2 linked regions of the Danio rerio genome follow. The protein of the gene in region 1 interacts with the protein of each later gene in a pairwise test. Links are inferred from orthologs where the notes say so. Each region holds a gene or a part of one and is shown on either strand. Other genes may lie near its edges. The genes, in order: cpne2 and uba3.

Region 1 (11,773 bases):
TTTCCTTTGTTTAAAAGCTTCTCTCGCTTTCTCTCCCTCTGTTGTTTTTTACATCCCCCTGTCTCTCTCTCTGTCTTTAGTTTCAAATGAGAGACATGGACCTCTACACTGCAGCACACTGTAACTATAGCAACCTGTGAATTTCACTCACTTTCTGTATCATTTCTTACCAATCACACTGGTGAAGGCAATTGAGTCACATAAAGAACCCATATATAGAGTCTGTTCAACTGGACAGTGCAAGGGGAAAAAAAAACAGGCTTTTAGCGTACCGGAATCAACAAATTTGACTTCAACTATTAGCTCCTCAAAATTCAATAATGTAAACCATACAATTCTGTCACTTCACGTTCTAAATGCGTTCTGTCATTGAGGTTTTCAGATTAAATTTTCATCAGTGACAGAATATATTTCTGAAATCATCTGCATACAAATGATGCTTCTGCATTTTGCATGCATGAACCCCCCCCCCCCTCCCCCCTCCCCTCCAATATCTGACAAGAACAAAGATTTCAATTCCAGAGGTGACGTTATCATACTCACAGTAAACATGAGTTGACAGCCACCCAGAATGTAGTCCAGGAAGGAGTAGTCTCTTGTAATCTAACAAAAAAAAACACACACGTCTTATATTAATATAAGCACATCACATAAGCCATCCTTCCACAAAGGTTGAAAAATGGTTCATTTGAAAATTTAGTGAGAACAACTGAGTCATGTTCTGTTTTAATGCCTGAATCCATCATAGGGCTGATTAAATGGTGACGGTGCAGGAGTGACAGGTGTTTTGTGCTGATATTAATACATGCTATTTAAAGGGGATTTAGCACTATAAAACTAATCTGTCCTTTCAGAGAAGCTGCAATTAAAGACCCTTTTATTTGTAATACAATTGTAATTAAATAAGCCGGAACATGGAAGGTGCTTTAATGTGCAAGCAGAATGTATTTAATCATTTCTTTTGCCTTGTGAATAGTGAATGTGTCACCATTCTTTGTTTCTTATGTCCTTACCTTGCATGACTTCAGAATTATGATTCCCGAGTTTTTGTAACTCTTTTTTTTCTGCTTCTTGGGATTAATGCATTCAAACTCAACCTGTGAACGGAAGGTACTGTGTTACTATAGTGCAGGATAAATAGTTTTTGTATGTATTAGACAATGTTGACAACATTAAATAGTGTTTTCGTAAATACATGTACATATTGATTGTTATTCATGTCTAAAATGATTTATATTATTTCAGTAATTTGTATAACATATCTTTAAGTTTTACAGTAATTCAAACCCCAATATCCAAAACTTACCCCAGACAGTTTTAAGGAAAAAATTTAAATGTAATAATAATAATCATAAAAAAAGAAAATCCAATCAAACACATTTCACATTCCACAACTTCAGACTTCAAAAGCTTCTTCAGATATTGCAAAATTAAGCAGATTAATTCCTTATTATGTGTGTGAGTTTTTTAAGAGCCAAACATGTTATAAGGTTTCTTAACCAAAGTCCAATGGAGGGGCAATTAACATTTATCCAACACAGAACAATACATCATCTTGCTGGTATTAAACACAAATTTATTCCAGTAATTTGGAATGTTTGCATAAAATAGTAAATATTAGCCATAAAAAACTCATTTTGGTGAAGAATTAAAACAAATAATACATGTTAATATACACTGATTGGCCACTTTATTAGGTACAGAATTCAGAATTGCCCTAATCCTTTGTGGCATAGATTTAACAAGGTACTAGAAATATTCCTCAGAGATTTTGGTCCATATTGACATGATAGCATCACGCAGTTGCTGCAGATTTGTCGGCTGCACATCCATGATGCAAATCTCCCGTTCCACCTCGTCCCAAAGGTGCTCTATTGGGTTGAGATCTGGTGACCCTACCATCCGAATGTCGTAGTAGAAATCGAGACTCATCAGACCAGGCAACGTTTTTCCAATCTTCTATTGTTCAATTTTGGTGAGTCTGTAATTGTGAATTGTAGCCTCAGTATCCTGTTTTCAGCTGACAGGAGTGGCACCCGATGTCGTCTTCTGCTGCTGTAGCCCATCTGCCTCAAGGTTGGATGTGTTGTGCACTCAAAGATGCTCTTCTGCATACCTCAGTTGTAACGAGTGGTTATTTGAGTTACTGTTGCCTTTCTATCAGCTCAAACCAGTCTGGCCTTTTCTTCTGACCTCTGGTATCAAAAAAGCATTTGCACCCGCAGAACTGCCACTCACTGGATTTTTTTTTTCAGACCATTCTCTGTAAACCCTAGAGTTGGTTGTGTGTGAAAATCCCAGTAGATCAGTACTTTATGAAATACTCAGAGCAGCCCGTCAGACACTAACAACCGTGCCACATTCAAAGTCACTTAAATCACCTTTCTTCTCCATTCTGATGCTTGGTTTGAACTTGTCCTGACCATGTCTATATTTGCGTTAACGAGCAGTTGGACAGTACCTTATAAAGTGGCCAGTGAGTTTAATAAATAATAGATCAGCTTTCTATACACTATAATAAATAAAGGGTTTCACACAATTCATTCATGTTGTCCCAGAACAAATCGATTAAGTTAACTTAACAAATTTAAGTAGACTGAACATAAAAAATATAAGTTGTCCCAATAAAATCTCAAGAATTGTGTTGTTTTAGCTCATTTTAAATAGTTAAATTGAACAAGCAGTAAAAATAATTATTTGAGTTTATCTAGTATTATTATTTTAAGGACTCTCTCAAACAAAGCTGAGACACAAAAATGAGACATAATCTATTCTGAAACAAAAATCCAAGTATCAGCATCATCTGTGAGTTCTAGAGAGATCATTCATCTGAAATGCGAACACAGAGGGGTGACAATCACTGCGGGAGCTCAATTACTTTACAACATGACACGAAATACATCATATCTCTGAGCAAAGGCTGTGCAGCAGAATGCCAGTACCTGAGTGAACGGGTGTTTATTAGTACACTAAGTCGTTCTCCAAGAGAACATTTAAACGTGTTCTGCCAAAGTGTGACTGGCAACGCACAATGCATGTTCTGGTAAACAAGGCAGCGGTAAAACAGGAGCGATTTGCATCTCAAAAGAGCCAGTTACTCTCTCTGTTTCTCCCTCCCACCTCTTTTCTCCTTCTCCCTCTGTCTCTCCCTCTCACTCACTAATTCTCAGCTTCATTATGCCAGATAATGAGGCATAGCTAGTACTCACATAGTATTCTGGCGCAAGAGCGGCAGGCGTTAATGTGAGCCAAGCTTTTACTTCACGCGTTTAGTTTCTACATTGTGGAAATTATGAATCTGCATGGTGTTAATTGCAGACAAGCCCACCTCCACTCCGTTCTCTGCTTCGCTCATCTTGGTCACGGAGGTCTGAAACTCGCCGATGAAATCATGGCCTCCGTCGTTGTCATAATCGTAGCACAGCACCTGTGACATCATATATTTACAGTGAGTTGTGACAATGTGGCTCATTGGGACATAAACAGACTTGACCAAGAGAAAAATCAAAACTGCTTAGTAGGTCTTCGAATACTGTATGTAATGTAATGTAATGTGTATTTATATAGCACATTTATTGTGTATAGTCACACACCCAAAGCGCTTCACAATCATAAGGGGGGGGGGTCTCTCCACACCACCACCAATGTGCAGCATCCACTTGGATGATGCAACGACAGACACAGGACAACGGTGCCAGTGTGCTCACCACACACCAGTTATAGATGGAGTGGAGAGGCAGTGAGCCAATTCGGTGGATGGGGATGATTGGGACAAGGCAGATAGAAGGAATTTGACCAGGACACCAAGGTTACTACTCTTTAAGAAAAGTGCCATGGGATTTTTAATGACCACAGAGTCAGGATCTCTGTTTAACATCTCATCCGAAAGATGGCACTCCTGACAGTATAGTGCCCCTTCACTTTACTAGGGCATTAGGACACACACAGACCGCAGGTTGAGAACTGCCTGCTGGCCTAACCTAAACCACTTTTAACAGCAACCTAGTTTTCCCATGTGGTCTCCCATCCAGGTACTGACCAGGCTCAGCCCTGCTTAGCTTCAGTGAGTAACCAGTCTTGAGCTGCAGGTTGATATTTGCTAGTAGGTCTTTGAATATTGAAGTTAAGTGAAACATGGACCTAATATATATGTTTTGATTTGTTTGCTTTTTTAGCTAAGCACAATGTAAGCATCATTATTTGGTATTATTATACATATATAATGTTTTTTAGAAAACATGAAACAGATTTGTTTCTGAATTCTTTAATTAAATTTCTTAAAAAGAAAAAAATGTAGTAATATAAATGAACAAATGTATTATGCATAATATTCAAATATGACATGAGATGTGTTTAAATTAATTTGTGCCCCTACTAACAGCAGCATATGGCACTGAAACTTTTGTATTAATGCATTATAAAACAACCATGGATTCAATCCATGGGAACACACATACTGATAAGATGTATACTTTGAATACACTGTAAATCACTTTCCAAAGCATCTGGCAAATGTATACTGTAAATGTAAATTTTGCTAATTGGGGACAAATAGTGAGTAAGGGGCCATCTGTTAAACTATATTTTAAACCAACTGAATTTTTGATTGGACACATGTAAAAAAACAGTCAATAATGTTACTTTAAACCGTAACAGTAAGTTGTTTTAAGCTATTTCAATATGAAAAGTTTTTCTTTTTGGGATCACAGTCTCCAATATACCCCAAAACACATTCATTGTGTTTAATAACACTTTAGTTTAGGTCACAATCCATACTATTAACTACTGGCTTATTACCTGCCTATTATTAATTTATTAACTGTTCATTATTAGTTATAATGTATGATCTTATTCTACATCTCCAATCCTACTTAAAACTGAAACCCAACTTCTACCTCACTAACTATTAATAAACAGCTAACTAGAAGTTTATTAACCCAGGAGTTCTAGTCAATAGTTTGTTCATCATTTTTCTTCAACGTACTCCCTTATTTATCAGGAATCGCCACAGTGGAATGAACTGCCAACTATTTCAGCATGTTTTACGCAGTGGATTCCCTTCCATCTGACACCCAGTACTGGGAAACACCCATAAACACGTATTTACATGCACACTTATGCACTACGGCCAATTTTGTTTACCCAACTCACATATAGTGCATGTCTTTGGACTGTCAGGAAAACCAAACTACCTGAAGGAAACCCATGCCATTCAAACTCCATACAGAAATGCCAACTGACCCAGCCGGGACTCGAATTAGCGACCTTCTTGCTGTGAGGCAACAGTGCTAACCACTGAGCCCTCGTGCTGCTGTTAATGGTTCAATACAGTGAACTGTGCACCAAACTGAAGTGTTGCCATGAATTCTACTGAGATTTTTTACACACATCCTATAAAACTGGACAGTAAAAGACAACAACTTCATAGAAACACACACACCTTGATGTTTCTGTCCACATCTCCATTACAAAGTGAGATTAGAGGCACTGTGAAAGGCTTCCATACAGGATCCAGAGTGTTCTTAATGACCTAATATCACACACACACAGGCAATTATTATTCTTTTCATTAAAAGAATGGATCTAGTCTAAAATACAAGCTTCACATCTGATAAAACAGCAGTAATAAATAGTCTACATCAGGGGTCTCAAACTCAATTTACCTGGGGGCCGCATGAGGCAAAGTCTGGGTGAGGCTGGGCCGCATAAGGGATTTCACAAAAAAAAGTCCTCAAATGCCATTATTAACAGTTTTAATTATTTCTTCTGAACATGAAGTGTCCTGAACATTAATAGAACATTGAGTGAAGATTATGAACAGTTCTTCTGAACATGGCATCTTTTGCCTACTCCTTACTGCCCGAGACTTGACAGCGCTTCTTTTCACAAATCTGAACCACATTTGGCTTTAGAGTGGAAGCAGTTGAGACCCTCAGTATGGCTTGAAGATGATCATTATTAAGTCTAGACCTGTACTTTGACTTATTGAAGTTCAAGGTGGAGAATAACTTCTCACACAAATATGTGCTCCCAAAAAGACCTAGTCCTAGGGAAAAAAGTGGGGGAACTCACTCAAAACTTCCATTCCCTCACCTAAAAAAAAGGCGTATATATGTATAAATAAAACACCCCCACCCCACTCCAGTCACATCAGTCTGTACCAGTCTGTATCTACCTATAATATATGCAGCATGTAGCTGAGTGGCAGGCAGGGGCGGGAACAGCTTACCTTGGTTCTTCCCGCCCGTCACAGCGTCTAACAAAGAGGCGGGGTGCGTGGTGACGTCACCGGCATCCCCGCTCCTTTGTTTACACGGCGGGCGGGGAATGCCAGTGACCGCTGTGTACGGATAGAATCAGCGGAGCTGGAAGCGCTCTCTCTCCCCGCTCCGCTGATTCTGTCAGTGTACAGCGGTCGGCGCGGGCCACAAAATATTGCACTGAGGGCCGCAAATGGCCCGCGGGCCGCGAGTTTGAGACCCCTGGTCTACATAAATGAGAATATCACCAACACGGTATCTATTTAATACCTTACCTCTGTTCTGTGAACCATCATCCATTTCCCATCATCCCCTTGTTTGTGGAACTCTAAATAAGGGTCTGATTTACCAAAAAAGTCCTGAAAAACAGCCACAAACAAAATCATTATCTTCTTTCAACGAGTGCTTTTGTGAAGTGCTTGAATGGCTATCAAAAGCTCTTAACTCACCTTTTTATCCAGCTTCCTCCCACACATGGTTAGGGTGATTATTCTGTTGTCTGATAACTCCTGCGCTGTTATCTAGACCAAACCAAGCAGATCGTGAAGCTCTCGTACAAACTCTATCAATGCATATGTCAGTTCTGGTGTGCTATGCGGGATCTTACTGTGATGGCCCCCTTCCCTGCCGGCTTGCCATTAGCCAGAATCAGTGGTCGATGCAGCTTCTTATTTGACACGATCTAATACAGAACAGATGGCCCAATAAATGCACAAGTAGAGGCGATACAGAAAGCTAATTTATCATAATTATGATCATAAAAGCTTATGGTAATTACTTGAGATTATCTAATTAGGGTGATGCCAAGCAGCATATAGCAGATTGACCTGAGATTTTAGACATCACTTGGAAATACTTTGTTTAACTATATTTACTTGTGTTTTAAAGTATGGATTTGAGTAAAATGGGAACATTTGTTGCATTAATAATGTCTGATTACATTTTTTTTTAACAAACAAATGATGTTTATTCCACCACATACTGCTTTCTTAACTTTCATTGGACAAAAACATCAATACCGCCTTTTCAGAAAGAAACCATAATACTTTTTTAATGATTTTAACACCCCATTGAAGCTCTAGATAACAACATTTTCCTTATACATTACCATAAAGACATTTTTTAAATAGTTTCTTATTTACTCCATAGCAGTAAGTAAAATGTTATTGATTAAAAAGTGCTACTGTACCACTCCCAATGTGCAGGTGAACTCGCCCAGAAAGTCGTGTTCATAAAGCTGAGAGCTGCATTTGTCCTCATCAAACATGGCAAATTTCAGCTTCTGGACCTCCTCAAAGTGGTAATCCACTTGAAATTTTACCCCAAATACTGGATTCAGGTTATTAATAGCCGTCTCTGTTCGAGCCAGCTGAAAAGACATAAAAAATAGAATATGTTTTTTGTTTAATTTTAAAAAAGGGTCAAGAAAGATAACATGAAGTTATACATTATTAAACATTTTTAACTGGTGGAGAAGTTGTCATATAAGATTGACATAACTATAAACTATTTTTACATACAAAAGAGCACATGATATGCACATATCAGTCAGATGAGTGAGAGGAATTTGTTGCTTGTACTGATACTATATATACATATTTACTATATATTTCCCAAATGTTGTTTAACAGGTTCAGTAAATTTTCACAGTGTGTCTGATAATATTTTTTCTTCAGGAGAAAGTCTTATTTGTTTTATTTCGGCTAGAATAAAAGCAGTTTTTAATTTTTTAAAAACCATTTTAAGGTCAAAACTATCAGCCCCTTTAAGCAATATTTTTTCGATAATCTACAGAACAAACTATCAATATACAATAACTTGCCTCATTAGCCTAACCTGTCTACACTGTTAGAAATAAATACGCGAGCTGTCACCTGTGGTGGTACCTTTTTTTAAAAGGTACAGTACACATTTGTACTTAAAGGGTTTATATTGATACCTCAAAAGTATATATTAGTAGATAAAAAATGTAAAAGAGATCCCTTTTGAACTTTTAAGGTACTAATATGTACCCTTGAGATATTTATATGGACCTTTTAGGTACAAATTTGTACCTTTTGAAAAAGTACCACCCAAGTGAATGCTGTGAAAACTTCTTTGCTTTCTTAAAGGTCATTTGGGAAATATTTAAAGAAGAAAAAAAATCAAAGGGGGGCTAATAATTCTGACTTAAACCACATATTTTTTTTTCTCTCTCTCTCTGCAGAAACTGTATAAATAGATACCAAATTGTATGGCAGTCCTTTATATTTGCCCCTTACACTGTGGTTCATTCTTTCCAGTGCAATATAAAGTAAAGTCGCAAGATAAAATATGACAAATATGACATTGAGATATTTTTACAATTAAAGTTACAAATGTACTTTTTGTGTGCCTGAATGCTTTAAACTCGCTTGAAATGCATTTAAAGCACATGCAAATCATGAAGTTTCACTCTCCTATGGTTATACTTTGCAATGACTCAAGTGATAAGATTAATTTACTGAATAAATGAATGTTATCACTTTTTTCCAGAAGATTTGAATCACCTCACATTCCCAGATACAGTGAAAGACTGTTCCTTTAGGTTTTTGGCATTTTAAACATATGCCTGGGATGTTTGGCTTAAACTTACTTAATTTTCCAGGTTTGATGAAAGTACAAACAGAGGATATGTTATTAAAAGATTGCACATCTATCCTTGAAGTCATTAGACTTTTTTACAAGATGCAGCAAATGATTGGGTTTATGTGTACACAATTACACACTCAGGACTGACATGAATAAGATGACATAAAGCCTATATTTATGAGGTCCAGACAACATTTCCAGGTGCTGATAAACCAGGAGTTTCTTCTCTTTTTTTTACTTTTTAAAAACAGTAGCCTTTTTTTAAATTTTATAAGCACATTTTAATTTAAATGTTCTTAATAATAGGAACTAATATGCATACGCTTTAGCTGCTTTACTGGACCTATTACGCTACTGTATTTCAATACTGCTCATTCTGGTGGTACTTGCAAAGACAACTTTTTTCTGAGGTGGTACTTGATGATAAACGTTTGAGAACCACTGAGATAAAATATTCCACTATTTTATAATATTTTCAAGTCTTTTTTGCCATTCTAATAAGTTTTTTTTATTACAGTGATTTACAATATGTAATCATTTGTAAATTTCAAAGGGTTTCTCAATAATTAGTTTTTATTGTAATAAAAAAAATTAAGAAGGTGCTAAAATGATAATAACAGTCATTTTAAAAAAGCATAACAGCAAGTGAGCATAAATTATAGTTGGGACAAATCTATATAGTTAAATACAAGGTTATATTTATAAAGTAAAAAAGTGCTCCATATTTCAAATATTATTAAATATATTATTCCATTTTACAGTAATGAAATATTATATTGTATTTATTATGAACAGTGATAACAATACTGGTATATACAGATGATTAAAACATGAAAGAATTTTGGGACAGCTTCTTTTTAGTATTTATCTGCATTTACATTTATTCATTCGTGATCAGTGTTCTAAATTTTTAAACACCATGTTCTAGAATGCATTTTAGCATGCATTTATCTACCACAAGCGCATTCCTTTGTTTGTCTCTTGCTGTTTCCATGGCTACAGTGTGTGGTAGAAGAGTGATTTTGTGTGCTGGCCTGCCCTACTGACCAGTGACTCTGGCCTGTGATGATTGAGCTCTAAAGGCACAGTCCCATAGAGAGCTCAGACACTGCAACCTAGTTTGCTCATCAGTTCATTCGCTTTATTTGATGTTCAAAAAGATTTCTTCCTGTTTTGCTTCCTACATGCCATCTTTTTCAGTTTTCCACACTATCAACTTGTGCATTTGTCTCAAAGGATATATGTTGCTTTCTAAGGCTCCCAAGAGGCTTCTCAGTGATAAGTTTTCAGTGATAAAAATTCAGATGAGTTTTCCTTTTCTATGTATGTATTAATAATTAATAATATTATAAAACATGTATATATGTATATATATTAGGGGTGTAAGGATACACTCAGCTCACGATGCTATGTGTATCACGATATAATGTTCACGATTCGATATGTATCACGATATTTGGAATAAAAATTTAAAATTTAACTGAAATGCAAATTTTACCAAGTAAACTATTTTTTATGTACTTCTTTTGTTTCAACTTGTTAAACTGAACCTTCTTTAAGAAAATAAATTAAACAGGCCTGTCTCTGGAAAATAAAACTATTTAAAAACTTCTTAAAAATATTATTAAAATGACAGAGACAAAATGAAGGAACAATTTAAGTAAAGGTGCAAAAAATAAGCTTTCAATTGAATTTAACAGTAAGAGCTTAAGGCTTTGCTTGGTCACTTGCGTTTTTTGTGTGTGCAAAAAAAATCCACATTTTCAGGTAATCAGCAGTTCTATAAGATAATCCTGAACTTATGTGTATCTGTCTGAGAGGTTTTTAGGGATGGCTGTCTTCATGTTGGGCATGATGAGTGACAGGGTGGCCGTCTTTTCATTAACTTACACAGGACAGTCGTGGCTCTTTTCAGCAGTTTAGGCAGGTTTACTATTTCTTCTGCGTCGCTGATGTCGGCGCTATCAAGTGTATCATGTTGACGTGCATTTTTGTGTACCTCTGTACTCAAAAGAGTTCATGCTCATCGTAATCATAACTCTAAAATGCGATATGATTGTTTAAATAATGTGTACGTTTTCGGTTTCATTTCCACTGCTAAGTGCTGTTCATACTTCCCACGCGGCTCCTGAACGATCACTCTGTTCCACAAACTGAATGTTGTTTACTACTTTATTAGTCACAACCTGCAGGTTCTGTTCACTGAAGCAGACGCGCGCGTATGGCAAGCCGTTTTAGCATTTAAACCTTTGTTCTGACTATCCATAAATATATTTAATTCATATTTAATTAAATTCCTTTAGAGATATCTCTAATTATATTTTGACTAGTCGAATTATAATTATGACTAGTCAAAATACAATTAGAGATATCTCTAAATATATTTATGGATAGTCAGATCAAAGGTTTAAATGCTAAAACGGCTTGCCATACGCGCGCGTCTATCATAGTCCGCCCTCTGTAGTAACAGCTCACGTCATGTGTGATTTTGCGGCCGCCAATACATCATTATATGAAGACAGAATGATATTTTAGGATGAATTGTACCTTATAAATACAGTATGTGACTCTTTCAACACCATTAGGAGGTATCCATGTCGCTGTGCAAAGTATGTAAATCACTGTGAAGACTTTAAAACTTAGGATGTTTGACCCAGTATGCGTGTCAAAAAGCGGACGAGTCTAAAGCAATGACTCTACAACCGAAATGTTGGCAGACGTCTGATTTTGAGAGGATGGGCTATCCTCTATTTCAACTCCACTCATCTTGGTCTGCTAACATTACTGCTGCTGCAATCTGAACTCACGTGCGACAGCAGGTGGAACGTAGCTCACGTGCAAACAGCTCAACTAATAAGAGAAAACGGACGTCATGTCGTAATCAAATCGTCATAACGCCACGA
Region 2 (11,773 bases), on another chromosome or scaffold:
TATTTAATTCACCTTATTTTAACATTCAACAACTCCGTTATCAAACAGAGCACTTCTGTAAGGTACCTTGTACAATCAAGTAATAAATAACATAAATTCTCCACTTTTGGACTTTTGTGCAACAGTAAATCTAAAAAAATCTAATATAAAAACAAATAGCACCTCAACTTAAAATACCTGGCATGCAATCCCAAGTTTACATATGTTTTGAACCGATATAAAATTTTTTCGATACGATAACCTTGGATAAAAATATCACGGTATCATGATCACTGCTTATGATCAACTTATGATCAAGGCAAAAATATTCTTTTTAAATGTCTGTGTTAAAAACAAAAGCCCCCCCTTAACACAATATATTTTATTTTGAGAAACATTTAAATATTTTGGAGCATTAATTGTTTCAGGCTAAAAAAATTCTAATGAATTGTTGACTTCTGCTGTCTTCATTAGCTTCAAAAACACAGATTTCTGTTTGTGATGCATCTTTTCTGCTGGTGATGCTGTTGTTAAAAAATGTAAATAGAAAATCTTACATATACATTAGGAAGGCTATTACAGAAAATTAAAAAAAATAAAATAAATTTTACCAAACCGCGGTATACCTTGAAAACAGTTCCCATCCCATGCCTAGCCATGGCAATGTTGTCATCATCAACTTTTATTATACCTCCAGATCACAGACATACTCGCGCGTTCCACTTCAAGCTGCTTCTGTTCTACTTTGCCAGCATTTAACTAATATCGTCTCCGCAACAAAGGGATGTCATGCCACATGCGTTGCTGTTTCTGTGTTAGTCCTGATCGGGAGGTAACGTCCAATTTTGATCAAGTCTAAAACTGTGTGATCGGATCTGGACATCCCTAGTTTTTTTATCTGTGTATGTAGATTATAATATGACTGCTTAAAAGGGATAGGTGATGCTCCAAAAAGCAAAAACAAAAATAGTCAAAACTAAATTAATATTTATGAAGTTAAATGATTAATTCTGTGTATTATTTTTGAATTTATTTAAGGTTTCATTCCTTTTCTTGAACGTAACTGCTTATTTCACTTTACTATATTACTTCACTTAATAAAAAAAGATTGTTCACCTCTGTATTGTCAGAAGATGCTGATTTGCTGAATTAATTTTCTACTGAAGAACTAAAAAAAAGTCTGCAGCCTTTTTAAAGTGTTATTTAACAGCAATTTCTAAACTATCCCTTTAAAAATCTCACAAAAGCTAATGTCTTATGCATAACTACTACACAGAAATGGCACACTCTGTGCAGATTTAACCAAATAATAAACCAAACAAATCACATCCAACATTACATCCAAAGTTCATCCTCATTCATTCAGCTTGGGAAGTTTACATCAGGTGTATTTTTCATGTCCTTGAATGAAGAGAAGTCTTACAAAGGAACATGTTGTTTTTTTTGTTTTGTTGTAAATAAATTGACTGATGCTAAATGGTCACTGCACAATTTAAACCCTTAAAAAAAAGGACAGACGGTTGTCATTACCAGTACAGCATTAATATATTCCTATTTGCTCTCCCAAACCTTTATGAGTTTATTTTTTCTTTTGACTGCTAAAGAAGCTATTTTGAAGAATGTGAAAAACCGTAACCATTGACTTCCATAGCAGGAAAAACCAATAACATTGAAGTCGACAGTTTTTCAGATAGTATTTTGAAAGGTTTCCCGCTTTCTTAAAAAAAAAAAGTGTGTGTATATATATATATATATATATATATATATATATATATATATATATATATATTAGGGATGTAACGGTATCAGAATTTCACGGTACGGTAATACCTCGGTATGAATGTCACGGTACGGTATTTATTGAATCATTTACAGGAAAAAAAAAAACTTTTGAAAATACTCCAAAAAAGTGCCAAAAGTGTCAATGACATACAAATTAGCCATCTATCTGTAAGCTTTGAAACAGGAACTTCAATTTTAATAACAAAAAATTATTAAACCATGTAAAAAAAATAAAGTTTCAATTTAGTATTGTTAAAAACTCATCACATTTAACATTTAATCACTCACTTAGATAGAGATGGGTTTAAAGGAAAATTATCATATAACTATAATCTGGTAAAAGCTGGTATCTCTGGGTATTTACAATGTCCCCTGCAACAGAAAAAAACCCCTCTCATTTGGGACTGAGGATTCTGGGACAAGAGAGATATGACTTGGCCCATGTTGACAGCAGTGGGGTAACGTTGTGCATTGTCTTTCCCCCACTTGAGAGGACAAACCATGAGTGAGATAGAGATCTCTTTGCGGTACAAGTCAATGTCTGCATCAATCTGAACAGTGTGCTGTGTTTCTGCAGTCCCCATGACTGTTATTAGTCGTATTCCCCAACTTGCAGGCACGTGCACACATAGGGCTCAACCTGTGCAGTGCACATGCCCTTTTTAGTCTTGGATAGAAAATGCCCTTCCAAAACGATCAAAAGTGCCCCCGCGACGCGACACAACCTCCGTCCAGTCCAGCCCTTCAGTAGGCGCGCGATAACACCTCTCTTGAGTATGCGCGCTCAACCCCCCCTCGGCGCTTTACAATACGCGCGCCACAACACAGCTGATCAGAACGCGCGCGACAGCACCGCTATTCAGCACGCGCGCGGCGACAACACCCGCTTTAGGTTCGATCATTTCCATCTTTTTTTCATCTCCGCTACTAGCAGCACACTCCATTTCCGCATTACTGGATCTGTAGCGACAACAGACCGCAAAGGATTATGGCCACGCCGGGGCTGATGGGAAATGAAGTTTCAGCTACCTCCCGTTCGCTTCATTCGCCTGAGCAAATTTTCTCAGAAGACCTATAGTTTTACCGAGTCATGCGACTTCGGTAATATCGAAAAAATTTAATATTGCGGTATGACGGTATTTACAATACCGTTACATCCCTAATATATATATTTATTTATGTTGAACAAATAAAAGAAAGGTTTGGGCCAGTAAAGGGTGAGTAAATGATGACAACTTTTAGTTTTGGGTGAACAATTATTTTAATAGAGATTCACCTAAACAAAGATTGAAAGAAATCTTCAGATTTAATATTTTTAATAGTATTTTTGTTTTAGAACACAAATTGATATATTTTAAATGAAATCTGAGAGCTCTTTTATCCTCTATAGTCAGTCACAAAATGTCCAAAAAATGAATCAAAAGCATTGTTAAAATATTTCATTTGTCTTCAGTGGTTGAATTATAATCATAAAAAGCTCCATAATGCAAAAAAAAAAAAGTAAAAACCTTCAGTTATTTCTCTGAAATACACAAATGTTGCTACAGCATTTTAGAATTTTTACAGCATTTATTTATATTAACTTATTATTTACAGATAAAATGTAAAATTCAAAGTTAAGCTTGTTAACATTCCTTAATGAACTGTGAGTTAACGAGAAAATTTGTATTTTTATTTTTCCGAAAAACTCAGAACGCTCGCAATAAAAAAAAACAAACAAACAGGGAAGCGCGAACAAGTGGGATGATGACATCTGCTGCTTCAGAAGCATCAATAGACTAATATAAAAAAAAAACTTTAAAAAAACAGCAGGTCGGTAATATGGGAATATTTTGGTTTTAAAGTCACATACACCTAACTACATCAGGTCATTTGTAAAAGAGCTGTCACAGAACTGTTGCCACAGCATGAAGAAATACAACATTCAGCACCTAAAAAAGCCCAACAGGCGCCTATATGAGGAGTGTTTTGCTAAAAAGTTAACTAATTATATTGCCAGTGACACTCAATCTAGTTACTAGAAAATTTCAATTTTAGAGTTGTTTGCTAATGTAAGGTGATATCTTTTCAGTTCCACTCGCTGCATTTTAGCAGATAGAAGCTACAATACAGATTGTTGAGCTGAAGCTTGACTACAAAATTAAATCGCAAATCAAATCGAAATCACAATATCTGTTCAAAAAAACGCAATTAGATATTTTCCCCAAATCGCACAGCCCTATTATAGGTTCATAATAACTGCCTTATCAATGCAGTGTATGTTTTGCATTCGCAAGATATGTTTTCACAGTGGTTAAATTACTATTATGATATTATGGTGGAGAATAAAATGCATAAATTACATTCTTCAGATGAATGATTTCATATAAAGCACAACTAACATTAAAATAAGACAAAAAATCTAAAAGATATTTCATAGTTTGAGAACAATGTCATTATCACAATATCAGTCCATTTGTGGTAATCTTAATATTGCTCTGCTCTCTTTCTCTCCTTTTTCTTTATAAATTGCGCACATCATCTTCCAGTCTCTCCAGTTTTTATTGGACACATGCAAGATTCTGGTTATTGGAGCCGGTGGACTTGGATGTGAGCTGCTCAAAGATCTGGTAATGTTGTTTCCTGTTTGATCTTGTGCTGGAATAACAATGCAATATATTTGACACAATCGATCCTCAAAGAGGCTAAATGTGTTTTTTTTTTTTTATATCGCTACAATGTCATCAATCAGGCTTTGTCAGGTTTTCGACATATTCATGTAGTGGACATGGACACCATTGACGTTTCTAACCTCAACAGACAGTTCCTCTTCAGGTTAGTCTGCGGACAGCTGTCTTTTTGAACCCTTTGTCGTTCTGATTTTAATCATCTAAACAGCCTGCTCTTGTTTCTCTAGGCCAAAAGATGTGGGCCGACCAAAGGCAGAGGTTGCAGCAGACTTCGTAAACGACAGGGTCCCAGGATGCAGTGTTGTCCCGTATCCTTTAAAGTGTATTAACTTAGTTTTGTCTTTTGTTTCAAAATTTAATTTTGATTTTGTTTGTGGGAAGTTTGAAATGCCACTGTACTTTTTTTCTGTGTTCAAAAAGTTAGAGGGCAGTAAGATGATTATATTTTATTTGCAAGAAACTTCCAATATTTTTTGCAATAAAGGATGCATTTAATAATCAATAAATCTATTAAATATGTGTATAATTTTACAAACAGTTTCTTTTATTAAAGGTATGCTTTTTTCTGGGATTTCTATTCATCCTAAAATAATAATAATAAAACATAAAAAATACAGTGCTGGGCAAAGATTAATCACATTAAAAATAAAACACATTAAAAATATTGTTTAGGCGTAATATATGTCAGTGTATTATATATATTTATTATGTATATACAGGGCTTTACATTAACACCTGCCAACCCGCCAAATGCGGGTAGATTTCGGTTGTGGTGAGTTAGACAGCCACTCTCACCAGCCACTTTGGCTGGCTGAAACTCCTTTTTAAATTGCCAGTGCTGGCTCGTCGTCACTAGGTTAGACTGTTAGTTTATGACCGTTTGTCTATATGCGTACAAATGTGATCTTAGAATCCAGAAGCAGCACGACTGACAAAAACAGTTTTTCGCGCGAGCAAAGGAAAGCAGATAAATAACGAATTAGAGGATCACGTACACAGTGAGACAGGCTTTCCTCACTCACTGACGAGGGCTCGTGTCGCGCGCACAGATGATTTGATTTGATGTTTCTTTTGCTTGCTGTTATTTTTGTTAATATAGTTTAATAATCATCCTTTACAATAATATTGCTTAAATATGTTGTTGTATGCACAGTTAACTGGTGATCTGGGATTTTGAGCCAGAACAGACCACTGTGCATAGTTTTAAATGCGTGAGTGTATATATATAAATATATATATATATATATATATATATATATATATATATATATATATATATATATATATATATATATATATATATATATATATATATATATATATATTTCGCGTGGGTTTCTTCCGTGTGCTCCGGTTTCCCCCACAGTCCAAAGACATGCGGTACAGGTGAATTGGGTAGGCTAAATTGTCCGTAATGTATGAGTGTGTGTGTGGATGTTTCCCAGAGATGGGTTGCGGCTGGAAGGGCATCTGCTGCGTAAAAAAAACTTGCTGGATAAGTTGGCGGTTCATTCAGCTGTGGTGACCCTGGATTAATAAAGGGATTAAGCTGACAAGAAAATGAATGAATGAATGAATGAATGTAAATAAATATATATATTTTAAATGTCAGCTGTTTTGTTAAACAAAAAGTGTATGGATCCAGCAGTATTTTGCTTGTTTTGACACATTATTTAAAATTTGTGGCAAGGAAATAATTAGTTTGGAGTGGCCAGTCGAAAAAAAAGGCAAACCATTATTGTGTTGAGCCCTGAAAAGTCCTGTGAAAGAAAACTAATTGCAATGCGCAACTTTTTATGAAAGTAATAACCCATAATCCATAATAACTAAATAACCCATTTGCTAATGCTCATTGAGTAAGCTCATAAACAAAAAAACAGTTAAATGAACAAGAAGTAATTTTAGCATGCCGCAACCCATGCCAAAGTCAAATTTATGCATATAAAATATATTTTCCCATCAGCAAAATTGAAATTGTGGCTAGTGAAAATGGCGAGTGGCTAGTAACGGTGGAAAACTACTAGCCACAATGGCTGGTGATCAAAAAAAGTTAAAGTCAAGCCCTGTGTATATATGATATACACATACATAAAATCAAAACAATACAAACATTTTTTTTTTATTACATATTTAAATTTATATATAATTTGTGCTATATACACTACCGGTCGAAAGTTTGGGGTCAGTACATTTTTTAAATGTTTTAAAATAAGCCTATCTTGCTCACCAATGATTCATTTATTTAATCAGAAATACAATACAAATTGTAAAATGTTATTGCACTACTGTTCAAAAGTAGTTTATCATTTAATCATTTATTCCAGTGATTTTAAAGATAAGATTTCAGCTTCATTACTCTAGTCTTCAGTCACATAATCCTTCAGAAATCACTCTAAGATTAATTAATTAATGTTGTTGTTGTTATTATTATTATTATTAATGGTAATTGTAATAAAAAAATAATGAATGAAATAATAATTTCATTTGAAACTACATACAATAAGAAAGCAGTTATTTAAAATGTTAATAAATGTTTAACAATTTAACTTTTTTTATTTACATTAAATAAATGCCGCCTTGATGAACATAATCATTTTCTTAAAAAAATTAAAAACATGAAAAAAAAAAAAAAAAAAAAAAAAATATATATATATATATATATATATATATATATATATATATATATATATATATATATATATATATATATATATATATATATATATATATATATATATATTGACCGGTAGTTAACATATAAAATTTATATCTAAATATAAATATTTTATCAAATATATCCATGCATGCATGCATGTGCGTATTACATATACATAATAAATAAATATTTACAATACACACAAATATTATGTCAAAACAGTACCGTTATTTTAAATTAGTTAATGTTTGATCAACACTAATAAAATATAATTCACTCTTTTCAACTGATATTAACAAGCATCTTAAGTAACAAGCAGCATATATACAATATAAAAGATGTAACACAAATGTAAAACTGAAGCGTGTAGTAATGATGCTAATTAATCTGCTTTTTCAATAGTGTGAAAGTATGCTTTTTTTTAATTCTAAAATATTTAGTATAAATTGGAATAATACTTGGCAATAATACTGATTTACGCTATTGTTCATCAAATAAATGCAACAGAAGTGAAATTTAAAAAATCTTACTGAGCCCAAACTTCTGAACTTGTAGTTTTTATACTGATTTATACTGTTGTATTTATACTGTTTTACACAGATTTGTACTGTCAAAATATTGTCATTTCCCTTAATACATAATGCAGACATTTTAAGAAAATCCAGGACTTGGATGAGACATTTTACAGGCGTAATCTAACTGTTACACATTTTGTTTTCATTATTTTTGTGTACAGAAATAATGTCCTAAAATCATAAATATATGATACTATTGTTCTGTTATTGTTATTAATAGTATGATGCTTTTTAGGCAGTATTATATTCTTAAATCTTTGTAATTTAACTGTTTTTGCATAGAATTCCACATAGTCGTCTGTGGCCTGGACTCTGTTATCGCCAGAAGATGGATGAACGGCATGCTTGTATGTCTCATAAACATCCAAGAATCTATTAATAGATATGTTTAGATCTAAAATCCATTCATTCATTAATTAAGTAGAGTGTTTCTATTCATTGAGAAGTACATATAGTCTATGCATTTACCTTTGTCAGCTCTCCCTGCTGATTTATGAAGATGGAGTCCTGGACCCCAGCTCTATTATTCCACTAATAGATGGTGGCACAGAGGGCTTCAAGGGCAATGCCCGGGTCATTCTTCCAGGAATGACAGCCTGCATTGATTGCACTCTGGAGCTCTACCCCCCACAGGTGCATTTTGGGATTTTTTGTGTTAAGTTGAAGTTTCAAAGCTTTTTTGTCATGCTCATTTCTGCGCCCTACACAGATCAACTTCCCGATGTGCACTATAGCGTCTATGCCACGGTTACCCGAACATTGTGTTGAATATGTACGCATGCTGCTGTGGCCCAAAGAAAAGCCCTTTGGAGGTACAATATGAGCTGATTGATTGGAATTTTTGGTTGTATTGCTAGCAGGTAATCTACTGTATTTCAGATATGGCTTTTTTGTTCTTCAGATGGTGTGGTTCTAGATGGAGATGACCCAAAGCACATCCAGTGGGTGTATCAGAAATCTTTGGAGAGAGCGGCTGAGTTCAACATCACTGGGGTCACTTACAGACTCACCCAGGGTGAGTGAGATGCCCTGTTCAATGGATCTTCATCAGGGATTTTTAAAAGCATCTCTTTTATTGACTTTAGGGCTGTAATTGTGCACATATTCATAATGAACGATTTTGATACAGGTCTTAGGGGCTGATCACAATGAACATGTTTTTCCGTGCTAAAACACGAGGCGCACCATATTTTCTTCTTTGTTGACGAGAAAAAAGAAGCGCTTTTTGCTAGGCAACAACTGAATCAGCTGTGTATTGTGCGAGAGTGTTGCTGTGATATTGGTATCATTTTAATATTAAATAATACATTTTATTTGTATATATAATATTTGTTAAGTCATACAGCTCCGGATAACTCAAAACAGCAACAGCTAGTCTTTCCTCTTTCTCCAAAAGTTTCCGTAGTCATCTTGACAACACAAACACTGCTGTCACCTCAACAGAAACCCTGCCTCTGCTTTTATTTAATTGTAGAATGAAAAAGACGCGAGTGATGTAGCACACTTTTTTTCCCTCGGAGTTGACTTTTTCAACTGCAAGTGCACAGCACCTAACGGCAAAAATGCAAGGCGCACAGGGCGCATTAGCAGTGTGCAAAACGCTCATGACCGTTAATAAACTATTCTAAAGATTCAACCCTCAGCGCAAAAAATGCATTCTGTGTGATTGGCCACTATAATTCACATAGACATTATACATAAAGTTAAAATATAACTAGTGGGTGGAGGACACTTTAGTTCATTTATCAGGGTTTTCGAGGGACATTTAGGTCCTATCACAGTTCTATTTTTGTACCCCTTCCCCTTGGCCTTTAAAACCGAGTGTGAAGGGGAAGGCGAAAAGTTAGCCCTAAGAATTGGGACAACGCTACAGCACCTGTACACGTCATCATATCTCTTGCTTCTTATGAGATCGATGATCGTGACTGCTGTAGTTATTCCAGTTGCTGTAGTTTTTGGTATTTATCTTCAGGAGATCACTGAAGGCTTATATTATAATATCAAAACTATCTAATGTGGCAATAAGATCGTAACTGTACTGCGCATTTACACTGTGGCCATATTCGTCAATATAAACACACAAAAAACAATAACATTATAGCAGACACCGTAAAAAGCTCATGCGCAACCAATAGACTCTTCTGAAATGGTATTCGTGTATCATCGAGTGTCAGAATGTTGTGGGATTGCTATACAGGAGGTATGATTATGGATTATATATAGTGAAATTTAGCTGGTTTTATATTAGTATTTTTTTAAAGCATGACGGTAAAACATGAACGCGGTTATGAATATATTAAAAGATGTGCTTGTTTGTTGTAAAAATTCATAATAATGAAAAAATAATAATAATTTGCGTATCTCCTTACGTCCGGGTCTAGCTATCCTGCCCTTGTGGCTGGTGTATTCTGGGAAATTTTCTTACCCCTTGGTTTCGAGTGTGGTCCTGAAAAATCTCCATTCGAAGGGCTATCTACCCCTTAGCCCTACACCTTCAAGCTAAAGAAAATTAGGACACCCCTACCCCTTAATTTAAGGCCTAAATGGCCTAATAAATTATGTTTAATAAACTGTATTTGAAGAGTTCAGATGCAAAATCCCCCAGATGCCATCTGACATTTTCTTTTAAAATGAGAATTTTTTTCAAAAAATGATATTAAAATCATTTGAATTGAATTGAATGAATTGTTGAAATAATTCACTTTAAGTGCAATAAAAACATATTTATAAATGTAAAAGTTAAATAACTGGTCACACAACATATAAACAGGGCCTTAATTTCCAAAGTATTTTGAATGTAGAATCCATGATCAAACAAAAAGTGTTTCAGTGGTAATCAGTATATTGCTGTTTATTGGATAAGGGATTCATAAAGATATTAAAAAATATATCAAAGGCACTCAAAATTATTATTTTTTAAAAAACAACATGACTCGTTCACCTACCCATTTCGGCAAACTTGCCTTTATCAGGATGACAATATTCAGGTCGGTCTAGAGTTCATTTGAATTTTCAGTATGTCACATGACACAATTATATTACTACACAGTACAGAAAATAAAATAACTAAACAATAATGTCAACTCAGCAGTTATTCACAGTACAGTAATGAGAGAGAGAAAAAACAGAATAATTATTACAACATAAACTATACAGCATAATTCTCAAAATTTAGACATACAATACAAGACATATATTGAATACAGCTTCAATAATAATTTATTTTAATTTGCTTTTGCAAAATATGATCAAAACACAGAACCAGCTTTGATTATTTCTTTGAGACTGTTTATGTCTGAGAATAACATTTGCCTTTTTTTGTTTATCAATTTTTCTTTCTTGTCTCTTTGAGACAAGGCTGGGGGCTTGGGGGCTGACCCTTTTTTTTAGTTATTTCATTTCAATATGGATTCTTAAATGATTAGTCCAGGATCAGTCTTTCAGTTTGTGTTATTTCAGTTAAGTCAGGTCTACCACAGAATGGGCGTGGAGCTTCGCGATCAGAGGTAGGAGTGGGCGTGGCTAGCAGAGCAGGGTAAAAGTAGGGGAGCGAACAACTGTTGTCAGTTAGCTCACAAAATGAGACACAAACCGTGAGAAGATGCATGATTTTATAGTTTACAAAGTTAAAATGCAAAGAAATAAACAGTAATTTTATGCCCTGCTACATTTGTAATTTCATATACATAACCACAATTTATACCATTATGAAGATAATCGTGTTCATTTAAACACTATGAGGACTTCTCCCTCAATCTCTGGGTCTGTATGCAGACTCTCTTGCCCTGCCTATTTCAGCCATTAGCCCTGCTGGTAATCTGAAGGATTTAGGTGAACACAGCAGCATGGCGATGTGTCTAAATGTGAACGAACTCCACTGATAAAGGACAATGTTCGCCATTCTCCGCCATACTCGTACTGCTCTCCCGACAAAAATGCTTGCTGCACACAAACAGCTTTGCTGTATCGGCCCTGACAGCCCTGTATTTGATCCCGCCCCAAAAATAATTTTAAACCCGGAAGATGAAATTAGCTGATAATAGCTCAAAATTGTCCAGTTTTTACCACAATTAAAGCTGACAGGTGCTAACATTGTCCTAACTGATGCTCAA

Evidence for each region.
Region 2: the proteins of cpne2 (region 1) and uba3 interact in binary tests that used the Homo sapiens proteins (3 or more experiments, as listed by UniProt). The two-hybrid records come from large-scale screens. The link is inferred for Danio rerio from reciprocal best matches to the Homo sapiens genes CPNE2 and UBA3.

Annotation. Positions count from the first base shown.
Region 1 is NC_133193.1:19,052,770-19,064,542, reverse strand, and holds part of cpne2 (copine-2), read right to left. Parts: intron 7,630-11,773; coding exon 7,450-7,629; intron 6,943-7,449; coding exon 6,868-6,942; intron 6,782-6,867; coding exon 6,710-6,781; intron 6,620-6,709; coding exon 6,536-6,619; intron 5,531-6,535; coding exon 5,441-5,530; intron 3,428-5,440; coding exon 3,329-3,427; intron 1,098-3,328; coding exon 1,014-1,097; intron 604-1,013; coding exon 544-603; intron 1-543.
Region 2 is NC_133186.1:19,924,235-19,936,007, reverse strand, and holds part of uba3 (NEDD8-activating enzyme E1 catalytic subunit), read left to right. Parts: intron 1-4,289; coding exon 4,290-4,370; intron 4,371-4,492; coding exon 4,493-4,575; intron 4,576-4,657; coding exon 4,658-4,738; intron 4,739-7,732; coding exon 7,733-7,776; intron 7,777-7,943; coding exon 7,944-8,008; intron 8,009-8,138; coding exon 8,139-8,294; intron 8,295-8,370; coding exon 8,371-8,473; intron 8,474-8,562; coding exon 8,563-8,676; intron 8,677-11,773. UniProt on the Homo sapiens protein: Catalytic subunit of the dimeric UBA3-NAE1 E1 enzyme. E1 activates NEDD8 by first adenylating its C-terminal glycine residue with ATP, thereafter linking this residue to the side chain of the catalytic cysteine, yielding a NEDD8-UBA3 thioester and free AMP.